Pelodiscus sinensis: one gene and its partner. The protein of the gene in region 1 purifies or fractionates together with the protein of each later gene. This does not show direct contact. Links are inferred from orthologs where the notes say so. Each region holds a gene or a part of one and is shown on either strand. Other genes may lie near its edges.

Region 1 (3,907 bases):
ACTGCGTCTGGGCCTGGTGGGTCCCGTATTCTCTGTGGTATGAACCCCACACACTGCATCTGGGCTCGGTGGAGCCCGTATTCTCTGTGGTATGAACCCCACACACTGCATCTGGGCTCGGTGGAGCCCGTATTCTCTGTGGTATGAACCCCACACACTGCGTCTGGGCCTGGTGGGTCCCGTATTCTCTGTGGTATGAACCCCACACACTGCATCTGGGCTCGGTGGAGCCCGTATTCTCTGTGGTATGAACCCCACACACTGCGTCTGGGCCTGGTGGGTCCCGTATTCTCTGTGGTATGAACCCCACACACTGCATCTGGGCTCGGTGGAGCCCGTATTCTCTGTGGTATGAACCCCACACACTGTATCTGGGCTCGGTGGAGCCCGTATTCTCTGTGGTATGAACCCCACACACTGCATCTGGGCTCGGTGGAGCCCGTATTCTCTGTGGTATGAACCCCACACACTGCATCTGGGCTCGGTGGGTCCCGTATTCTCTGTGGTATGAACCCCACACACTGTGTCTGGGCTCGGTGGGTCCCGTATTCTCTGTGGTATGAACCCCACACACTGCATCTGGGCTCGGTGGGTCCCGTATTCTCTGTGGTATGAACCCCACACACTGCATCTGGGCTCGGTGGGTCCCGTATTCTCTGTGGTATGAACCCCACGCACTGCATCTGGGCTCGGTGGGTCCCGTACTCTCTGTGGTATGAACCCCACACACTGCATCTGGGCTCGGTGGGTCCCGTATTCTCTGTGGTATGAACCCCACACACTGTGTCTGGGCTCGGTGGGTCCCGTATTCTCTGTGGTATGAACCCCACACACTGTGTCTGGGCTCGGTGGGTCCCGTATTCTCTGCGCTATGAACTCCTGCATGTCCCTTATTCTCTCAAGATACTTCCTATTAAAAAAGGAGTTAGAACAGACAGACATGGTGGGTTCAGGAAAGAACCCGCCATTGTGAAGATGGGACCTGGGTGCATCGGGCCCTCAGGGACCGCCGGGCTGGACTGAGTCCCTCCCCCAGTCCTCCTTGCCTCCTCCACCGGCTCTGAGGACAGGGAACGCTGATCAATTATTCAGCAGGCCTAGTCTCTGCCGGCCGGGCTGATTGCAGCACTGGGCTGTAGGCTCTGCGCTCACACACCCGTGCGAGCGTCCGGAGCTGGCAGCCACACAGGAGCGCAGCAACTCGGCTCGGAGCTTGGAGCGTCGGGAGCTCCCAACTTGTTTGCGAATTGAGCGGAGGAGCTTTTGGAGCCAGCAATACTTTCCTCTCTGGACCAAGCTTCCTGTGGGGCTGTGGGGGAGCCCTGCAGAACTCCTGCTTCCTTGTCTTCCTTCCAGCCCCTTCTCTCGCGCTGCTCCGGTAACGCCTCATTTGTCCCTTTCTCTCCTCCAGTCTTGTCTCCTCCCTTTTTCTCTCCATTTCTCCACTTCTCCCTCTGCCACCTCCGGTGTCTCTCTGGTCACTCTAATTTCTTCTCCTCCCCCCCCCCGGCCTGATTTCTCACTCAAGTTTCCTCCCCCTCTGTCCTCCCTAGCTCTCTCTCTCGCTCTCACATCTTTCTTTGTCCCTCAAGAGGGTTGGGCCAAAGCCCTTGTGGACCCCCTGGCTAGCAGCGGAACAAGGAGGGCTGGGGAGGGGTGGGGACCCCCCTCCTGGAGAATGCCCATCCAGATATTCTGCACCATCTCCTTCTCCTCCAGCGAGGAGGGACGTGGAGACAACGGGACCGTGGGGAGAGGAGAAGACAGTGTGGACGAGTTCCTTTACAATCAGGAGGAGGACGAAGAAGAGCAGGAGGAGGGAACAGCCACTGACATTGTGGCTTTTGCCAACAGCTGCACGCTGCACGGAGCCAACCACATCTTCGTGGAGGGTGGCTTCAAGGTGCGGCAGATACTCTGGGCGCTGGCCTTCCTGCTCTCCCTCTCCATGTTCCTCTACCAGGTGGCTGACCGTATCATCTACTACCTGGAGTACCACCATGTCACGCTGCTGGATGAGCAGGACAGCACCGAGATGACCTTCCCGGCCATCACCTTCTGCAACATCAACCTCCTGCGGGTTTCACAGCTCAGCCAGGAGGACCTGCTCTACATTGCGCCCATGGTGAAGTACGAGAGCTGGATGGAGCCGGACTTCCCCCTTGCCCAACTCAGCTCAGAGGCCTCGGAGCAGCCCCTGAACATGTACAACTTCTACAACCGCACCTGCCACCAGCTGGAGGACATGCTGCTGAACTGCAGCTACCGAGGGGCTGTGTGTGGGCCAGAGGACTTCTCCGTGGTGAGTAAGCCCTGCTCCCGTCAGGGGCTTTTGTTCCTCTCAGTAATGTGGGGAAGAACAAGCCCTGGCAGGAGCCAAGGGACCCCTCCTATGGGGCAACTTGGTCCCCTGGCTGATCTCTGCCCCAGCCAGCCTGTTTGTCTCTCAGCTCTGCCACTATGGCAGGGTCCATGTGGCGATAAACATTCAAGGCAAGGCAGTGCCATTGGGCTTCGGCAGGAACCTGGGGATATGAACAGAGCCGGGTGTCTGGCTGAGTGGTGCTTGCAGGATGGTGATTGGCACCCACTGTGTTTATGGGGCTGATATCACTAGACTTGCTCTTTGCTAATTTCCACCCCTAAGAGGCTCATACACCATGAGGAACCCAGCTCCTCAGTGCAGTTTTGGCCCCATAAATGGTTCCCTGAGGCATAGACGACTGTTATAGCTGTTTTGCCCTTTCCCCTACCTCTGCTGGAGCCCATGTGCCTTTGCTGTAGCTTCCTCATGGGGGCCTGAGGCCCCATTCCCCCTCAACCAGCACCAGTGCCACCCGGTCTGCCCAGAGTGTGGTGCCTAGCAGGCCAGATGTACTAGCTGCTGTCATGAGTGTCTAGTTCTAAACTCTAGCAGCCAAGGGCCCTGGCTCGGGCTGGTCTTTCATATGTCTCCTGCCGCTCCGTTGGTGCTGTGACTTGTGCCAGCTGCGCCCACGGGCCCCCCGCATGGCTGGCAAATGGCTTGCTGTAATTAAACTGCTCCATGTGTGACGGGGAGAGAACAGGACCTGAAGGAACAGCAAATGAGCTGGAGAAGTGGGGGAGGGAGGCAGATGAAGTGAAGGCAGGGAGCCATTGTCAGCTGCCCGCCTGGAGCAAGTTCCCTGATGGAAATGTTATTTCTCTTTACCAGCAGCCTGGTGTCAGTTGGCAGGGAGGCAGCCCTTCGAATGCCCCAGTGTTAATACCCCAGTGACGGCTGGCCGGGAGCACTGGGTCTGGTTAGGTTAAGTTTAGAGGTGGGAGCAACAGGAGTCATGTTGTGGTTGGTGTCTGTTATAGATCACCAGATCAGGTGGATGAGATAGATGAGGCTTTCTTTAGAGAACTCACAAAAGCTTCCAGATCACAGGCCCTGGTTCTCACAAGGGACTTCAATCATCCTGACATCTGCTGGGACATCAGTACAGCAGCGCACAGACACTCCAAGAAGTTTTTGGAGAATGTTGGAGATAACGTCCTGGTACAAGTGCTGAAGGAACCAACCAGGGGCCGTGTGCAGCTTGACCTGTTGCTCACAAACAGGGAGGAATTAGTAGGGGAAGTGGATGTGGGCGGCAGTGATCCTGAGATGGTCAAGTTCAGGATCCTGAGCAAAGGAAGAAAGGAGCGCAGCAAAATATAGACCTTGGACTTCAGAAAAGCAGCCTTTGACTCCCTCAGGGAACTGATGGGCAGAATCCTCTGGGATGCTAATATGAAGAGGGAAGGAGTCCAGGAGAGCTGGCTGTATTTTAAAGAAGCCTTATTGAAAGCCCAGGAACAAACCATCCTGATGCGCAGTAAGAAAAGCAAATATGATAGGCAACCAGCTTGGCTTATCAGAGAAATCCTTGGTGAGCTT
Region 2 (3,907 bases), on another chromosome or scaffold:
GGCCAGGGCAGCCCACAGAGCCCCCACCCCCAACCCTGAACTGGAGGCTGGGGTCAGACCATACAGCTTTCCCCCCATTGAACAAGCTGCCATCCAGAAAGCACAATCCTGGGCCCCGGGGAGGAGCTGCCTCTGGAACACTGTCACCATTGCCACCATGATTGGCCCTGGTAAGTCACCCTCCTGCCTCCCTGCCCTATCTCCTGCACCTCCATCCTCTGCTCTGAGCCCAGGGACAGTGGGCAAAAGCCCAGCTGGGGAAGGCAAGTCCCAACCAGATCCTTCCTGGCCATGTGGAGAGCAGCCAGGGCTGCCCGGGGGGAGCGGTCCTTCCTCACCCCTAAACACTCCCTCCCTCCTCTCACACACACCAGCCCCCTGTTCTGAACCCCTCTTCATCCCACACCCTACATCTAACTTGGAACAACCTCAAGTGACTGTTCTGGGTGTCATGGGCAGCAGGGGGCTGCTCAGAGCTAACTGGTTTCCCATTCACGACCCTAGTTGCAAGGTCAAGGTAACTTCCCCCCAGTCCCAGGGGCAGCCCAGCGTGGGCCGAGTGACTTTGCCCCTGGTCGCAGGGTTGCCAATTTTGGTCAGACGTAGTCCTGGAGATTTCATCCCATCCCATCGCCCGTTAAGTCCTGGAGACTCCAGGAGGCTCCTGGAGGGTTGGCAATGACCAGCCTAGGCACGGGAAATGAGCCCCGGCGGGGGTGACGCGCACTGGGGGTAGGGGGGGGCGCAGGCAGGTAGTGCCCTGAGCGCTGCACCGGCTCCTGTCACCTGCTATGGGCCCGGCCTGGCAGAGGCCACGCAGGCGCGTCCACTTGGCCGTTAGCCCGGCGGCTGCGGGGCAGGGGCCCAAGCAGGGAAGTGGCGCGGGCGCCTCCCACGGGATGCGGGACTGCGCCAGAGCCGCGCGCCCGCCCAACGGCCGCCCCAACATGGCGGCTGCAGGGCGCGAGCCCACAGCTGGGCCCCGCCCCTTCCTCTATTGGCTGTCCCGAGAGCCGCCCGAGCGCTCTACGTCTCCATAGCGACCCGTTCTCAGGGGTGGGCCTGTCTTATCGCGAGAAGAGAGCGCGGAGCGGTGGGCGGGCCCCGAGACAGCTGCTCCGACCGGTGGGCGAAGCCCGGGTGCGAGTGGGGGAGAGGGAGTTGGGATAGGTAGGCGGCTTCCGGCCCGGAAGTGACGTGGAGGCGCGGTGTTCTGACAGGTAGAGGCGGCAGGTGGATGCAGGTACCCAGCTCTGGACAGCTGTTTCCGGTGAGTGACTAACGCCTCCCCCGTGCCAGCTTTCCCAGCCCTGGGGGGCACGTTCCTGGGGGGGGGCAGCTGAGGGGCCCCCTTAACCCCATACTGCCCTGAGCGCCGCGGGGCAAAGTCTGGGCCGGTCTCCGCCCCTCCCCTCACTTGCTCCCTTCAGAGCTGCCCCCCCCCCCCCCCGTGCCAGCCTGACCCCTGCTCCTCACCTCGCGCAGCAGCGCGGGATCCCCCAGATCCTGACAACCCTCCACTCCATGCCAAGCAGCCACTAACCCGCTTAGCACCTGGCAGCACTGACCCTGACAAGTCACCGCAGGGCACCGGCACCTTCTCACGCAGGCACACGCAGTCTCCCCACTTCCAGCACCAGCCACCCCAGTGGAGCGACAGAAGCTGGGAGACTCAGAGCAGAGCACGAATCCAGAGATGAACCGCTGTGCAGCTACTGTGATGGTGGTGGTGATGCAGAGAGATGTTTGCTGCGCTCTTCTCTGAAACATGAGGGTGCGGGAGAAAGATGCTTCCTCAAATTGTCAGACATGAGAATACTTTCCATGAAAAAGCAGTGAGGGAAAACTGTGTTTAGCCCTCAGAGGAAGGAGGCAGAGGCCCGTGAGATGCATATTGACTTGCTGCAGAATCCAGAAGAAACTGAAATAGTAAATGGGTGAAGGGAATAAGACCCCAGATAGCTCTGGAAAGTATTGTGCTAAGCAGATTGAATGATGGGCTGTGTCCTTTTCTAAGTATTAGAGTACTTGTATACCTTGTGAAACAATAAAAAGCACCATTACCCCATCTCCAACCCTGAGCAGTGAATCAGAAGAGTCTGAAATATCTCCTTCCCAAACAGCTCCATCCCCAGTTAGCAGAGAGAAGGGGCCTGACAGAGGGCACAGGTTGATTCTTCAGCTTTAGCTGCTGAGCATTGATGAATTGAGAGAATTAAATTTACAAGTCTTTTTTCCTCTTTCCAGGCACTTTGGTGTAAACAGAGTTTCAAGTCAAAAGGCTCCAGACTGCCAGAGCGATGTTTGGAGACTTGGACTATGACATTGAGGAGGATAAGCTGTGAGTACTTTATTTCCCTTTCTTGACAATTAAATATCAAAGAACATGTTTACACTACAAAGGGACAGCTGCAGCTCTGCTGTGGTTCTATGGATACCTTTTATAGTGACTGAAAGGTTTTGTATCACTGTAGTAAATCCACCTCTTAAAGAAGCAGTAGCTAAGTTTGATGGAAGAATTCATCTATCAGCCTAACTCCATTTACAGGCAGTCCCCGGGTTACGTACAAGATAGGGACTGGAGGTTTGTTCTTAAGTTGGATCTGTATGTAAGTCGGAACTGGCGTCAGCTGCTGCTGAAACTGATCAGTTTCAACAGCGGCTGAATCTGGACGCCAGTTCTGACTTACATACGGATTCAACTTAAGAAACCCAGGCGTCCCCAAGTCAGCTGCTGCTGAAACTGATCAGCGGCTGATTCCAGGAAGCCCGGGGCAGAGCAACTCTGCCTCGGGCTTCCTGTAGTCAGCCCCTGGTCAGTTTCAGCAGCGGCTGACTTGGGGACGCCTGGGGCAGAGCAGCTGGGGTGCTGCTGGGTTGCTCCAGTAGCGCCGAGGAGCGGCGCTACTGGAGCAACCCAGCAACACCCCAGCTGCTCTGCCCCAGGCGTCCTGATTCAGCCGCTGCTGAAACTGACCAGCAGCGGCTGAATCAGGACGCCTGGGGCAGAGCAGCTGGGGTGCTGCCGGGTTGGTACAGTAGCGCCGAGGAGCGGCGCTGCGGGACCAACCCGGCAGCGCCCCAGCTGCTCTACCCCAGGCATAGGCAAGAAAAGCCTGGTCTGCTGGGGCGGGGGCACTAGCTACACCCCCCCCCCAGCAGACCAGGGAGACGTGGGTGGCGGGACCGCCCGCGTCCTCCACGGCTTTGCTCCGTCTCCCTGGTCTTCTGACCAGGGAGACGGGGAGCAAAGCCCTGGAGCACGCTCACAGCGGGACAGCCCAGGCGCGCCCAGGCTGTCCCGCTGCGGGCATGCTCCGCGGCTTTGCTCTGCGTCTCCCTGGTCTGCTGGGGGTGTCCAGCAAAGCCGCTGGACCCCCCCAGCAGACCAGGGACACCCGAGCAAAGCCGCTGCCTGGGTGTCCCTGGTCTGCTGGGGGGGTCCAGTGGCTTTGCTGGACCCCCCCCCCCCCCCCCCCCCCCCCCCCCCCCCCCCCCCCCCGCAGCAGACCAGGGAGACCGGGAGAAGCTTTTCTCGCCCCGGAGGACACGGGTGGCAACACACCGCCCGTGAGCTCCGGGGCGAGAAAAGCCCCGTTCGTAAGTGCGGATCCGACATAAGTCGGATCCGCGTAAGTCGGGGACTGCCTGTACTTTGGGGAGTAGTTCAACCTAACTATTCCACAGGACTTGAAATTTTTCATAGCTGTAAGCAATATAGCTAGGTAAACCTAAATTTTAAGTGTAGACAATGCCTAAGGAGCTGCAACAAGGACCTGATCAAAGCAGGTAGAGTTGCTCACTCCTAGTGATGTGTATTGGAGATCTAGGGTCATTGTTCAGTCTTGAGGTCTTGCTCCCTATAGCTAGTGGGGTGGAGCCTTGCAGTGGCGGTGAGCAGAAGGGA

What was found.
Region 2: the proteins of ASIC1 (region 1) and PICK1 purify together in Homo sapiens (affinity purification with western blotting; 3 studies listed by BioGRID and IntAct, with this or other methods). This does not show direct contact. The link is inferred for Pelodiscus sinensis from reciprocal best matches to the Homo sapiens genes ASIC1 and PICK1.

The regions. Positions count from the first base shown.
Region 1 is NC_134729.1:6,495,178-6,499,084, reverse strand, and holds the start of ASIC1 (acid-sensing ion channel 1), read left to right. Parts: upstream 1-1,202; 5' UTR 1,203-1,678; coding exon 1,679-2,302; intron 2,303-3,907. UniProt on the Homo sapiens protein: Forms voltage-independent, pH-gated trimeric sodium channels that act as postsynaptic excitatory receptors in the nervous system, playing a crucial role in regulating synaptic plasticity, learning, and memory.
Region 2 is NC_134711.1:92,068,919-92,072,825, reverse strand, and holds the start of PICK1 (PRKCA-binding protein), read left to right. Parts: upstream 1-1,052; 5' UTR 1,053-1,270; intron 1,271-2,247; 5' UTR 2,248-2,300; coding exon 2,301-2,341; intron 2,342-3,907. UniProt on the Homo sapiens protein: Probable adapter protein that bind to and organize the subcellular localization of a variety of membrane proteins containing some PDZ recognition sequence.